Linked DNA regions of Stegostoma tigrinum. The protein of the gene in region 1 interacts with the protein of each later gene in a pairwise test. Links are inferred from orthologs where the notes say so. Each region holds a gene or a part of one and is shown on either strand. Other genes may lie near its edges. The genes, in order: asl and mcmbp.

Region 1 (7,165 bases):
GGGGATTCTGAGGGATAGGATTTGCATATTTTTGGACTGATTAGGGGCAGTTCACATGAGTTTGTGCATGGGAAATCATGTCTCACTAACTTGATTGAGTTTCCTGAAGAAGTGGATTGATATTGTTTATATAGACTTCAGCAAGGCATTTGACAAGGTTATGTATGGTAGATTGGTTAGTAACATTAGATCACATGGGGTCCAGAGGGAGTTGGCCAACTGGATACAAAATTGGCTTGAAGGTAGGAGACAGAGGGTGGTGGTAGAGGGTTGCTTTTCAAACTGGAGGCCTGTGACCGGCAGTGTGTCACAAGGACCGGCGCTGGATCCACTGCTTTTTGTCATTTATATAAATGATTTGGATGTGAATATAGGAGAAATGGATTGTAAGTTTGCAGAAGACACCAGAACAGGTGGTGTAGTGGACTGTGAAGCAGATTATCTCAGAGTACAACATGACGTTGATCAGGTGGGCTAATAGGCAGAGGAGTGGCAGATGGATTTGAATCAAGATGAAAGTGAAATAATACATTTTGGTAAGACAAATCATGGCAAGACTTATATAGTTAATACAAGGGGTCTGGGGCGTGGAGCTGAACAAAGAGACCTTGGGGTGCAGGCTCAAAGTTCCTTGAAAGCGGAGTCACAGATGGACAGGATAGTGAAGAAGGCATTTGGCATGGTGGCCTTCATTGGTCAGAATATTGAGTATTGGAGTTGGGACGTCATGGTGTGACTGTACAGTACATTGGTGAGGCCACTTCTATAATGCTGCATATAATTCTGGTCAACCTTCTAGAGGAAGGATGTTGTTAAATTTGGGAGGATGCAGAAAAGATTTACAAGGATATTGTTGGGACTGGAGGGTTTGAGTTGTACGGAGAAATTAAATAGGCGGGAGCTACTTTCCCTGGACTGGCAGAGGCTCAGGGGTGGCCTCATAGAGCTGTATAAAATCATGAGGGGCATGAATAGGGTGAATAGTCAAGGTCATTTTTCTAGGATGGGGGAGTTCAAAACTAGAAGCCATAGGTTTAAAATGACAGGGGTAAGATTTGAAAAGGGCCTCAGGGCAACTTTTTCATGCAAAGGGTAGGGTTGTATGAAACTGGCTGCCAAAGAAAGAGGTAGGGTGGGCACAATTACAACATTTAAAAGGCGTCTGGATGGGTACATGAATAAGGAGGGTTTAGAGAAATATGGGCCAAATGTAGGCAAATGGGACCAGATCAGTTTAGGATTTCTGGTTGGCGTGGATGTGTTAGACCGAAGGGTCTGTTTCTGTCCTGTATGAGCTATGATTCTATGAGTCTTGGAATTTAATCTTTAAATCCAGGAGGGTTGGCAGCTCGACCCAAATGATGCAAAGGAAAACTTTCAACACTATCACTGAAACACATAATGGTTACAGGTCAGGAGGAGACTTTTGGTCTGTCTTGCATCCCTGTCAGCCACTCAGCTAGACCCAATGCCACATGTTTTTCTCTACAGCCCTGCATTTTTTTTCCCTTTTCCCATAGTTATTAAATTTGCTTTGGAAAGCTAGGATTGAATTTGCCTTCACCACACTGAGAGACAATGCATTCCAGGAATAACCACTCACTCCAAAAAACAGCGTTCCTCATATTGCTTTTGTTTCTTTTGTCATCCATCAGGAACTGGTGTCTTTACCTGGTCCTTCTACCAATGGGAACAGATTCTCTCAACCATTTCGCCCAGATCTCTCGTGATTTTGAATTCTTTTAAATCTCCTCTCAACTTGCACTGTTCTAAAGGAAAACAGTTCCATTTTTTTCTGATCTATCCATGTCACTGAAATTCCTCATCTCTGGAGCCGTTTGTGTAGATCTTTGTCTGTATCCTGGCATCATATCCTTCTTTAAGTATCTCACCCAGAGTGCAGTTGCAAAACTTGGAACCACACCAAGAAAGACAGTGTAGATAAAGATAAACTATTTCCATGTTTAGGGATTCAAGAACTACGGGTAATAGTCTGAGAATTAGGGCCAGACCATTCAGGACATATGTTATGAAGTGCCTCCACACATGGTAAATGTCTGGAAGTCTCTTCCACAGCTAGAAGGTGATGCGAGATCAAATGTCAATTTAAAATCTGAGATCAGCAAAGGTATTAAGAAATATGGGCCAAAAGCGGACATATGGAGTTAGGCCATTGTTAAGCCATAATCTGGCCTACTTCTGTTTCTATGTTTGTGTAGTTAAAGGAAAGCTACAAAGTTTCGCTATTGACTTCAAGTCCTCAGAGAAGCTTGCCCAGGATAACTGCACTTAATTAGCAACCAAATCAAACAAAATGCCAACCTCTTTGACAGTGTTTGTACAGCAGAGGCAGAGAGAAAAGCACAAGCAGAGGAACATGCCAAAAGCTCAATTACAGTATCTTCTCCCAGTAACAGAACCTTGCTGCCAGAGTGGTCGTAGCAGTCACCTACAACAATGGTTTTCAACTGGTCTGCTGTGACAAGATGCTGTAAGGTTTTTGGGAAGGACTGCAGCTTTCCATGAGTGACCTGTACTCTGCACCCCCTCCAGTGCTAGTATATATATTCTCAAGTAAGGAGACCAAAACTGCACACAGTACTCCAGATGTGCTCTTACCAGGACCCTATACAGCTGGAACATAGCCTCCCTGTTTTTAAACTCCATCCCTCTAGCAATGGCAGACAACATTCCATTTGCCTTTTTAATTACCTGCTGCACCTGCAATCCTACTTTTAGTGTTTCATGCACAAGGACACCCAAATCCCTCTGCACAGCAATGTGCTGCAATTTTTTACCATTTAAAACATAGTCCGTTTTGCTGCTATTCCTACCAAAATGGATGACCTCACACTTATCAATATTGTACTCCATCTGCCAGACCTTTGCCCACTCACTTAGACTATCTATATCCCTCTGCAGACATTCAGCGACTTCTGCACACTTTGCGCTACCACTCACCTCAGTGTCAGCTGCAAATTTTGACACACCACACTTAGTACCCAAATCCAAATTATCTACGTAAATTGTAAACAATTGCAGTCCCAACACTGATCCCTAAGGCACACCACTAGACACTGACCGCCAACCAGAAAAATACTCATTTACTCCTACCTCTTTGCTTTCTACTGGTCAACCAATCCTCTATCCTTGCCAATACATTACTTGTAATACCATGCAACTTTATCTTATGTAGCAGCCTTTGGTGTGGCACCTTGTCAAATGCCTTCTGGAAGTCCAGATACACCACATCCACAGGTTCCCCACTGTCCACCATGCAAGTAATGTCCTCAAAGAATTCCACCAAATTAGTTAAACATGACCTGCCCTTCATGAATCCATGCTGGGTGTTCCCAATGGGACAATTTATATCCAGATGTCTTACTACTTCTTCCTTAACGATAAATTCAAGCATTTTCCCTACTACCAAAGTTAAGCTAACTGGCCTGTAGTTACCTGCTTTTTGTCTACTTCCGCTTTTAAACAGTGGCGTCACATTGGCTGTTTTCCAATCTGTGGGAACCACCCCAGGGTCCAGTCAATTTTGGGAAATAATTACTAGTGCATTGGCTATTTTGATCAGGATCCCATATGCCTTTAAGCACTTTCCCAGTTACTTCCAACAATTTGTGCCACAAATCCAGCTCCCTCACATCTTGGGTTGCGTATTTTAAGTTGCCCTTCCCAATTCTAACTCTACACAATTTCCACCTGGCTCTCACCTCCACCTGTTCCATCTTGGACTGGTCCCCTTCCTTTCTCAACATCTCTGTTTCCACTTCTGCAGATAGACTGGCCACCTATATCTATTACAAACCCACAATTACTTTCACTGTACATTCTCACACCCTGCTTCCGGCGAAGACTCCGTCCTACTCTCCCAGTATAAATAAATCAAAAATTAATTTAACTGAATTAAGTTTCGAATGCTAAGCTCACAACACGGAGAACTCTATCACCCTGTCAGCTGAGAGAGGTTTATTTTATTTCAGGACTGGGTAAATGTGAGCGGTCTATATACAGTTGGGAATTATTTTAACAGGTTTCGACATGGACTACGAATCCCAGCAGCTTCAGTTAGCGATTTGCATTCCGCTTCCCGGAACTGGGAGTTTCTGGGCTGAAACCGATCAGAATTGCAATGAGAAGTCTCACATTGGGTGTTTCACAGAGCGCTGTAGCGCGTCTGAAGATCGGTGTGCAGAGCTAACTGAGCATTTTGGGGGCTGTGTAAACACTGACACTTGTTTATCCTACAGACGGATCGAACATATAACCTCCAGTTGCTTTTTAAAAGCTTTGACTTAACCTGAGCTGTTCCTACCGTGCTGAGTCCTTGTGTTCGAAATGGCCAGTTCAAAGGTAATGTTTCCCTCAATTTTGTTTTAAATTCAAGAACTAGATCCATTTTTATATGTCAAGGAGACGTTACATAGTATCTCCTGCTTGTTTTTCTTGTTGTCTAGCTAACTTCCTCCTTTAATATATGACTTGGGAAGGTGCAGGAGGGAATATTAACTACTGTTCTCACAAACAAGTGTGGACTGAAGTGATTTGCAGGGCTCTTTCAGAATTGGGCGAAATCCTGTCGATATTTTCCTTGTTGTCCTTGTGTTGCCATATTACTCACGATTGCCGCAATCATTGTTTCCTTTCAGAGCGTAATGAAAGCAGTTGGTTTGAGACACTCTGTTTCCCATATTAACATGGGACAGCGCAGAAAGGTTACAGGGTACAAGTTTGTTTTTCACAAGAGGAGATAGTCACTTGTACTCTTTGGAATCAATGCTCTTTCTTCCCCTACCATTATCTTCTCAATGTTGGCATATTTGGTTTATGTTGTCGTTTGTGGCAGGGGTGTGTGTAGGTTCTTCACTTCCCTGAATGGATTTGTTATACAATTCGAGGTAGTTATCTGCTTACTAATGGAGTATTTTCCTGTGTGTTGCAATAAACGTTATTTTCATCAGTTCCACAAGGAGTTGCGTATGTTGCTGAACTGAACCAAATCAACATCTAAAACATACTTAATTGGGTAGGTGCATTTCCTGCATCAGTTTAAATTGTTACAAAATAGCCTGGTAGGATTTCTTGATCATAAACACCTTCTACCCCTACAATTCTGTTGGACTTGGTTAAATTGCAACAGTGTTGCTCCTTGTGTAAAGCAAACTGATAAGGGGAATGTTTTCTGTTGTTTACGTATTGATTGATTGTTTTTAAACAGTAAAGCTCAGTCGCCTTTATTTGATTGGAATGCCGAAGAAGAGGCAACATAGTTTATTCTTTGTTTAAGAGATAATGGGAACTGCAGATGCTGGAGATTCCAAGATAATAAAATGTGAGGCTGGATGAACACAGCAGGCCAAGCAGCATCTCAGGAGCACAAAAGCTAACGTTTCGGGCCTAGACCCTTCATCAGAGAGGGAGATGGGGAGAGGGAACTGGAATAAATAGGGAGAGAGGGGGAGGCGGACCGAAGATGGAGAGTAAAGAAGATAGGTGGAGAGAGTGTAGGTGGGGAGGTAGGGAGGGGATAGGTCAGTCCAGGGAAGACGGACAGGTCAAGGAGGTGGGATGAGGTTAGTAGGTAGCTGGGGGTGCGGCTTGGGGTGGGAGGAAGGGATGGGTGAGAGGAAGAACCAGTTAGGGAGGCAGAGACAGGTTGGACTGGTTTTGGGATGCAGTGGGTGGGGGGGAAGAGCTGGGCTGGTTGTGTGGTGCAGTGGGGGGAGGGGATGAACTGGGCTGGTTTAGGGATGCAGTAGGGGAAGGGGAGATTTTGAAACTGGTGAAGTCCACATTGATACCATATGGCTGCAGGGTTCCCAGGCGGAATATGAGTTGCTGTTCCTGCAACCTTTGTTTAAAATTGTTTTTGTACCCTTGAAGTTCTATTCCCGGTCCGGTTCATTCTGAGTTCATGCAGTAACGTATGAAACCTTTGCACACATTTTTTTGCTGCCAGCCTGACTCCAGTTTAGCACATTCCTATGGGCTTCAAACCCCAATGCAGTGTCGGAATTAAAAAAATTGCGCCGTGTGGGGAACAGTCACTTACTGGGAATGTTCCCCCACCCCCGTATTGGCTAATTAGGAGCCAGAGGGTCAGCTTGTTGACCAGTTAGGGATGGTGGGCATGAATTCGAAGCCAGAGGGCCAATAGGAGGCTCTTCAGCACAGAAACATCAGCAGCGGGCCTTTAAAGCCTAATGAGGATGACAGTAAACCATTGAAGATTGCCCTTCTCCAACTTTTTGCAAGTTACAATAAAACCCAGAAGCCACTATTGGGGAGTTGGGGTTACCTTTTCCACAGGGTGGCCAATGACTCCAATTGAAACCCAGCCTGCTACACTCAGGCCAATTCCAGCCATCTGCCATGTTCCCCACTGCCTTTGGGAACCTGCACAATCCCTGCTGACCTCTCTCAATAACCCTGAACTCCCTCCCCTTCCCATCTCCAGTAAAATGGCCTGGGGTGAAGCAAGAGAAACAGTTAACTGTTGGTGGTATAACATGTAAACACGCCCTTATCAGGGGCTAAGAAATATATCTCACGCCTTTATAAAAGTGTAGAGCAAGGCTACTCAGAATGCAAAGAAGGTTTAGAAGTTTATCTCTAGAATTAATATTTTGGGACAGTTCAACTGACTCTATTCCTAATATGTTAAGTAATGATGTGTTATTGTTTCAGCAATATAACAGATGATGAGTGAATTTCTTGGTGCGCAAATCAAGTCAAACTTTGTAGCCAATGCCAATGATTTTCATGTCCACTAGGAAACTAAGCTATGGGGTGGAAGATTTGTTGGAAACGTTGATCCAATTATGGAAAAGTTTAATTCCTCCATATCTTACGATAAGCGAATGTGGGCTGAAGATATTAAAGGCAGCAAAGCGTATGTCAAGGCTTTAGAAAAAGCTGGACTGGTAACAAAAACAGAAATGGATCAAATTCTAAACGGGATGGACAAGGTAAGAAACTTGGCAATGAGCTGACCTAACTATCAAAGTAATGAGGTCTTCTGTCCTTATTACAACTTTAATCTCTCCACAGTTGTTATCGTGAAAGTAAAACCACTTAAAATTGAGTTAAACAGAATTTGATTTTTGTGTTCTGGTGAAATTTGTACATTGGGATTTTTTGGTTGATAGTTCATAGT
Region 2 (7,298 bases), on another chromosome or scaffold:
TCACAGATGGTGCCAGACCTGCTGAGCTTTTCCAGCAACTTTGTTTTAAAACCAAGAACAAAAACATTCATTTTCCCATTTCAGTCCACAGTTAAAAATGCCGAAATATAAAAAGGTACAGTCTGTACAAAATTTTAAGGAAATTGGTTGGATGAATGTATGAATCAATCTAGCCCTACTAATTTGAGCAAAACAATCATGGCCACCATTTTTATACATTTACCATAGAATGATTGGGACTGTATTCTCTGGAGTTTAGAATGAGGGGGCATCTCAATGCAACTTATTTCTGACAAAGCAGGCATACTGGGTGCAGAAATGATATTTCCATGGCTGTGGGGATTCCAAAACAACAGGAAGTAGACTATTTCAAACTGAGGACAAATTTCTTTACACATGGTCATCCTGTAGAAATCTCCACCATAGAAGGCTATGAAGGCAGTCACTAAATATTATTTAGGTAAGATAGATAGATTTCCAGGGACTAAAAGGTGTCTAAGCATATGGAGAGACAGCAAGGAGACTATGCTGAAATAGTGGACTTGCCGTGATCATGCTGAATGGTGAAGTGGGCTTGATGGATCAAAAGATTTACTTCTCCCCCATTTTCCATGTCTCTAAGTCTAATTCTACTGTATAATGAGAACTGCAATCAAAAGTAGCTGCAAAATTTGGGACGTGGGGTGTAAGAACAAAGTTTTAAGGACCTCTGAAATGCCTTTACAAACAGAATTCCTAATTATGGGATCATTATGTATGAATTCTTATGGGAACAGTACAACTCAACTCATTAATTCTGCGAGTTTAACAACTCGAACAAAGAAACTCTTTCAAAGTAAAAGCACTTGCAATTCGATGTTACATTGGAAACAAGTTTTATTTTAGTTTAAACAAAGTTTTGTTGGCATTCCCCCTCCTCCCCAAAGTGACTGATTCTAACACTTCAACGGCTTCAAGGCATTTTTGTTAAGACGTAGCTTTAATCCCTCAACCTTGGGAAGAAGCTACTTCTGTAAAGTGAATTCCTTTTTATTGACAGTTCAGAACCAAATTGCTAACATTCCTAAAAAGCAGCACTATGATAAGTATGTCTAAAAGCTAATCAGTTGATTTGAAAAAAGTTAGTTACAAACACCCCTTCAGCAAAACACACATACCAAAACAGATCTTTCTGCTTTTTAAGCAAGTTCATAAAACAAAATTGTCTCTGGCCATTTTTTCAACTGAAAATAAATAAGTTTATAACAGTCAAATGAAAACATACTCTATACATCCATCAGCATTTTCTTTAGATTACATTTGCTTTCAGCTTCTTCTTGCATTTCAGCTACAGATCATTGTCACACAAATCAAAAAACAATAACATTTATTTATAGTGTTGAGGTCAGAAGTTGTTTACGTAACAAAGATGTTGATCCCTGCAACAATTGATGATAAATTCAACAAAATTAACACAAGCGCAACCAACCTAAAAGCAAGCTCACAAAGAATCGCAGTGAAATGAAATTGATGCCTATATTCCAGCAATAGCACAATTGTCGTAAGTTCAAGAGAATGCAAAATATAATTTGAGAAATAACAAACATCTTAGCATGATAATTTTGTGTACTGCAAATTCCAGATGATCAAGTGCTTAACTTTATAAAAAGCAAATCCATCAGCAGCTTCCAGTGACCGGACATGCAGTCAAAAATAAAAACCAGAGGATGCCATTTAGCTGCCCTGCTCTTTCTCAAGCTTCAATTCAACAATATCTTAGTTGGAGACTTGATGGTGAAAGATCTGGAATATTATGAGGTCAACACAGGTAGATACCCACTAAAAACACATGCAAGATTGTGCTTATCCATTCACAGGCAAATTAATGTCAGAAAGAGTCATAACTATTTCTGAACTAACTCATTGGCCTTAATTTTCTTCCTCCAAGTATAGAGTCAAATTTGCCCACCACCACTCGCCCATCATTACTTATTCAGGGTATAAGGAATCTGGTTCAAGCACAGACTGAAGTTTAAAATGGGTCCATATCTGGGGAATTGGATCACTAAGCTCATTACTATGCCAAGAGCAAAATGTGTTATGTAATAAGTGTCTTGTCTTTAGATTCAAACTAACTGCTCCCTATACTTCCATCATTACCACCATTGGCATTGCACAGGTCCAAAATAACAATAAGACATGGCTCATGAATACACATGAATAACATATGAAATATTAGTCAATTCAATGAAGGATTAAAAAATCAAGATACTGGCTGACTGCTCAGATTAAAGATATATAATGATAGTCAAGGATGACCAAAGTTATCTTGATGTTGTGGCCCATATGCATAAGTCAAGTACAGCCAAAGCCCAGATTAACTACACTTCGTCACCTTAACATTCAAGGAACTGTACTGGCAAACAATGGCTGCCGTGCTTGCTTCCAATAGGAACAATTACTATGTTTTAGAAGATATATATAATGCCACATTCTCAGATATTTCAGATCTTTTCTAATTTAAATATTCAAATAAATGCACAACAGAAAAAAAGACAAATAGCAAAAGGAAACATTAAGTTTTAAATTTAAAACTTAATTCTAAGTTCAATGCTGTAATGTTTTACCAGAAGCAAAATTCACTGAAAATTAATATGAAGCCTTCTACTGCTCAAAAACACCAAAATACTATGATAACTGGATCACAAAATACCTATTCAAAACACATACATCGAAAATGTACCTTTACTTGTAAACTTCAATTCCTAACCGAGGAGAAAATGTTAATGCTATGACTTCATGCAAGAGCAAGGCTTCTAAATTTACCAAAAAGGTGATCATCTACAGTTAAATCAATAACTTTCCTAAACACCTTTCCACAATTTGAGCAATTTTGGCATTTCTGTAAAATTCTAAAGTTCTAGGAGTCAATTTTATTGTTTGTGCATCTGTTTGAGGATAGCCTTAATATAAAAACTTGGCCTCAAATTTCAATTGTTCTAATGTGTGTACATCCAGCTCATCTGCACTGTGCACTCACAAAATAAAACACGTTAATAGAAAGTCTTGCATTCATGTGGCACTTCTCACAACCTCAGGAGATTTAAAAATACTTCATAGTCAATTAAACTCATTCAAATTGGGATTGTTGTTGTAATGTAGGAAATAAGAGAGTAAATGTAGAGAATGGAAGGATCTACAAGCAGCTATTTGATAACAATAAAACTGTTTCATTCTTGGTATTAGATGAAGTATAAATATTGGCAGTGAAAACTTATTTGATTTTCTACATGCATCTAAGAGAGTAGGTGGAGTCTCTGCTTATCTTTCCACGGAACAGATAGCACCTACTGTTGGTGTAGGATGCAATCAGTACTGTACTGAAACACCAAACTGCATTTTGTGCTCAAGTCCCCGGAGAAGAACTTAGATGTTCAATCTAAGATTCAGGAGGTGAATCTTCTACTACTAAGCTACAATTGCCAGTACAGCAACTCTGACATCTGGCATCATACAAAAACAGCTGCAGAATGTTAATGCCCAACAAAATAAAATCATGCCATACATATTGTACAGGTCGCCACAAAGTAGCTTGGGCTACAAGCAGGCTAAACAAACCACAAGTGAGTCTAAGCCCGATTACATACATCGTATTTTTAATTGCTGACTTTTTGATAGACCTGCTATTAGGATCGGACCACTCAATTTTCTTTCAGTACACGTCAGGCTCAAATCAAAGACTGCTCAGTGACACAACCTCCTTCCGCGCCCCGTGTAAGGTGATAAAGGGATCCAAACCCTGTGGACGGCTGAACTGAATACTTCTCGATGAGACTTCAAATCACAGACACCAACACCCTCGCAACCAAGCAACATGAAATTCAAGGATCCAGATGTCGACCCTGGAGTGACTCCTCCTCCTCCTCCCCCATCCCGAGCCGGGGAGTCTGTCTGCCATCCTCTCAACACAACCGCGGGCCTCATTCATTCACCCACCCGCTGAGAGAAGGCTGCTGTCCGCCGCCTGCGCCTGACTGACAGGGATGAAAGGCACCGGGAAACTGAACTCGGTGTCGGAGGAGAAAAGCAAGTTAGTGCCGCTTTTCCTGTCGGCCATCTTTACTCCGGCACCGACACGTAACCAGCTGCTCCGCGGAGCGGGATGAGGGGCGGGGCGGGTGGGGGTCAGAGGTGAAACCGGCCCGGTACGTCATGGCGCAGCGGGTCAGGGGTCAGCGGCTGCGTCAATGACGCGATTTTCCCGCCATCGCCGTTGGTCACTTCCCTCCCCCCCCAACCCCCGCCCTGCCCCCCCCTTTCCCCCTGTCCCGCAGCAACTTCTCAACATGCCGTGTGTTGACGACTGGGTCAACGACCCTCTAGGCGCCGTGCAAAGTATTTTTGGTGAGTTTGCTTTCTTTCTCCTTTGTTGCCTAATCGCTTTTATTTTTGTTTTTGTATTTGCAAGTTCTTCCATTCCTGGTCCGCGATTTCTGTGCTTGTGCAGGCCTCCCATCCCAGCTCCTTCTCAGCAGCTCCTTAACCTTCCACCAACACCCCCCCCCCCCCCCACCACATCACACACAACCCTCTTTTTCTTACACGGAGCTTTAAACTTCAATTCGGAGACAAAATTGAACTTTACAGCTTAAGTATTTATATCAATCCCAGATCAAAAGGCAAGGCTTCGGCAAATAGTTCTTTTCTGTAAGCTGATTGCTTGTGAGACCATTTAAACTGTGAGCTACTTTTAAAACCATTGGCTTTATAATATGCTTTGTACTGTTAGAGAACAAGCCTTTAAGATCCAAGACCAAGCTGATTTCCATGTGGGTGGAGACAGTTATGGAAATCTGGCAGTATTCCAAAGTAGTTCGGTGTATTTTCTTTAAATTGCAAGTTATCGAACTATCAGAAGACTTAGCCTTGTTTCATGCTGTAGCTCATTTCTTTTGTGCACGTTTAGGGGACTTCCTTCAGTAGGTGGATTCATGTTGATTTACGCAAATGATAGAATATATTCCAAACAACTAATTTGATGCTTGTCAATAACATAATCAACCAATTTCCAAACTCCTGGAAAGATCGTTATCATGAATATAGTCTGGCATATTTGACTTTTGGCAAGTCCAGTGCTTCCTGACTGATATACATCTGTTTTTGTGACTGTTAGATCTCACATTGTAGTTTGTACTAAAGTGAGTCTGTTGAGTGGCCTTAATAAAATAAATCTATGTTGAATATATTTCTGAACTTTTAATTGTTTGAATAGTTAAATGATTATTTTGGAACATTGAAGAAATATTTAATCATGGGAGTATCAGCAATGTTATGTGTAATGATCCACAAATTGTGCATATATTATTTGCAGAACAGATAGAGTGGACAGTGAGAGTTTTTTTCCGAGGATGATGACGTCAGCTTGTACAAGGGGGCATAGCTAAAAATTGAGGGGTGATAGATTTAAGACAGATGTCAGAGGCAGGTTCTTTACTCAGAGAGTGGTAAGGGCGTGGAATGCCCTGCCTGCCAATGTAGTTAATTCAGCCACATTAGGGGCATTTAAACAGTCCTTGGATAAGCAGATGGATGATGACGGGATAGTGTAGGGGGATGGGCTTAGATTAGTTCACAGCTCAGTGCAACATCGAGGGCCAAAGGGCCTGTTTGCGCTGTATTGTTCTATGTTCTAACTGGTCAGCTTAAGGAGGCAGGCTTTTCCACAGATGCCAGCAGTCAATGCCAGAGGCTAGAATTTGATTACCATGGCTATTTGACAGTTGTGGGGCTGGACATTAAACTGATAGGAATAGGAAAGGTCACAGAGAGATTTGAAAATGAGGATGTTTGTTGTTTAACAGAAAGCCATTGTGAATCAGTGATCAGAGCTGATACAAGTGATAATACTAAAGAAGTTGTAAGAGGACCAGTTTGTCCTGAGGTCTGTAACTTTCTTATGTATAAAGTACCTTGTTTGATATTCAGTACTGAATGAATAGATGTTAGGGACACCAAACTATGATCTTTGGTTTTCACCCACTCTGTTCCTCACCTGATAACCATCTGAGGATTAAAAACAAAGTTGCTAGAAAAGCTCAGCGGGTCTGGCAGGATCTGTGAAGATAAAAAACAGTTAAAGTTTCGGGTCTGGTGACCGTTCCTTACTGGACCCGAAACATTAACTCTGTTTTTCCTTCACAGATGCTGTTTGATCTGCTGAGCTTTTCCAGCAACTTTGTTTTTCCTGATTTACAGCATCTGTAATTTTTTTTTTTTTCGGTTTTTATTTATCATCTGAGGATTACCCAGTATGTACTTTGTATGTATTTGTATTGTAATAGTTTTATTTTTGCCTCTGTGACATTGTCTGATTGATCTGTCTCAGAGCATTGTTGCTGAAACCCTCATCCATGCCTTTAGTATGTCCAGCCTTGACAATTCCAACCTAATTCTGGTCAGTCCTATACGTTTTAGTTTCCACAAAGTTGAGGCCATTCAAATACCTTTATCCATTCCATTTCTTGCACCAGATCCTGTTTATTCAACAGATATCCATGCTAGTTGAATTCCAGTCTCTTTCTTATTTATGATTATTAGTTGCTGTGCTTTAGGCATCTGTACAAAAACCTGCCTGCCCAAGTTTTTGGTCACCTGCTTTAATATTGGCTTGTGTAGCTTAGTGTCACGTTCTTGGTCACACTGTTCTGGAAAATATCTGAATGCTTCAGTGTGTTCAAGGTTCTCTGCTGCTTTTGTTGCATCTCACCTGGACTGTCAGGACCAAGTGATTGGGAAACAGCTGTGTATGTGGGACAGATCATTCAATAGAAGTGACAATGTTATCTCCATCAATACAATTGTTTGGTCCAGTGCACCCTTGCAGAGTCTGGAGAGTAGTTATGAGGAGCTATATTCAAGGGTGTATTGGGGAATGAGAATCCTGCCTTCCTGAAACTTTGAGTTGTGGAAATTTAGCTAATATATATTAAGAGCTTTTGAACATCAGCATGGGAGCCAGTCCGTGGTGACTACTTACACTACAGTGTAATTGTTTCAAAGGTCTTGGGGATTGATAAGGCATTTGAGCATTGACGGTTTGAATTGTGCTGTTTGCAACATTCTAGTCTTCTGTGAACCTTAGATGAGTTTCAAATCACTACAATTGTTCCATCGAAAAGATCCCACATTCTTTACCATCACCTGTCTCCACCTCTCCTTCAATTTATATGCTGTTGAAACTCTGTCAGCCATGTCTTGACATCATTCATGGTCGTCCCTCCCTGGTATAAGATCACCAAAATCTTTGCTGTGCAACTATT

The links.
Region 2: the proteins of asl (region 1) and mcmbp interact in binary tests that used the Homo sapiens proteins (3 or more experiments, as listed by UniProt). The two-hybrid records come from large-scale screens. The link is inferred for Stegostoma tigrinum from reciprocal best matches to the Homo sapiens genes ASL and MCMBP.

Annotation. Positions count from the first base shown.
Region 1 is NC_081380.1:21,804,067-21,811,231, reverse strand, and holds the start of asl (argininosuccinate lyase), read left to right. Parts: upstream 1-4,106; 5' UTR 4,107-4,347; coding exon 4,348-4,362; intron 4,363-6,782; coding exon 6,783-6,977; intron 6,978-7,165.
Region 2 is NC_081373.1:26,239,947-26,247,244, reverse strand, and holds the start of mcmbp (mini-chromosome maintenance complex-binding protein), read left to right. Parts: upstream 1-4,283; 5' UTR 4,284-4,325; coding exon 4,326-4,383; intron 4,384-7,298. Other genes in the region: sec23ip (SEC23-interacting protein), read right to left, coding at 3,976-4,096. UniProt on the Homo sapiens protein: Associated component of the MCM complex that acts as a regulator of DNA replication.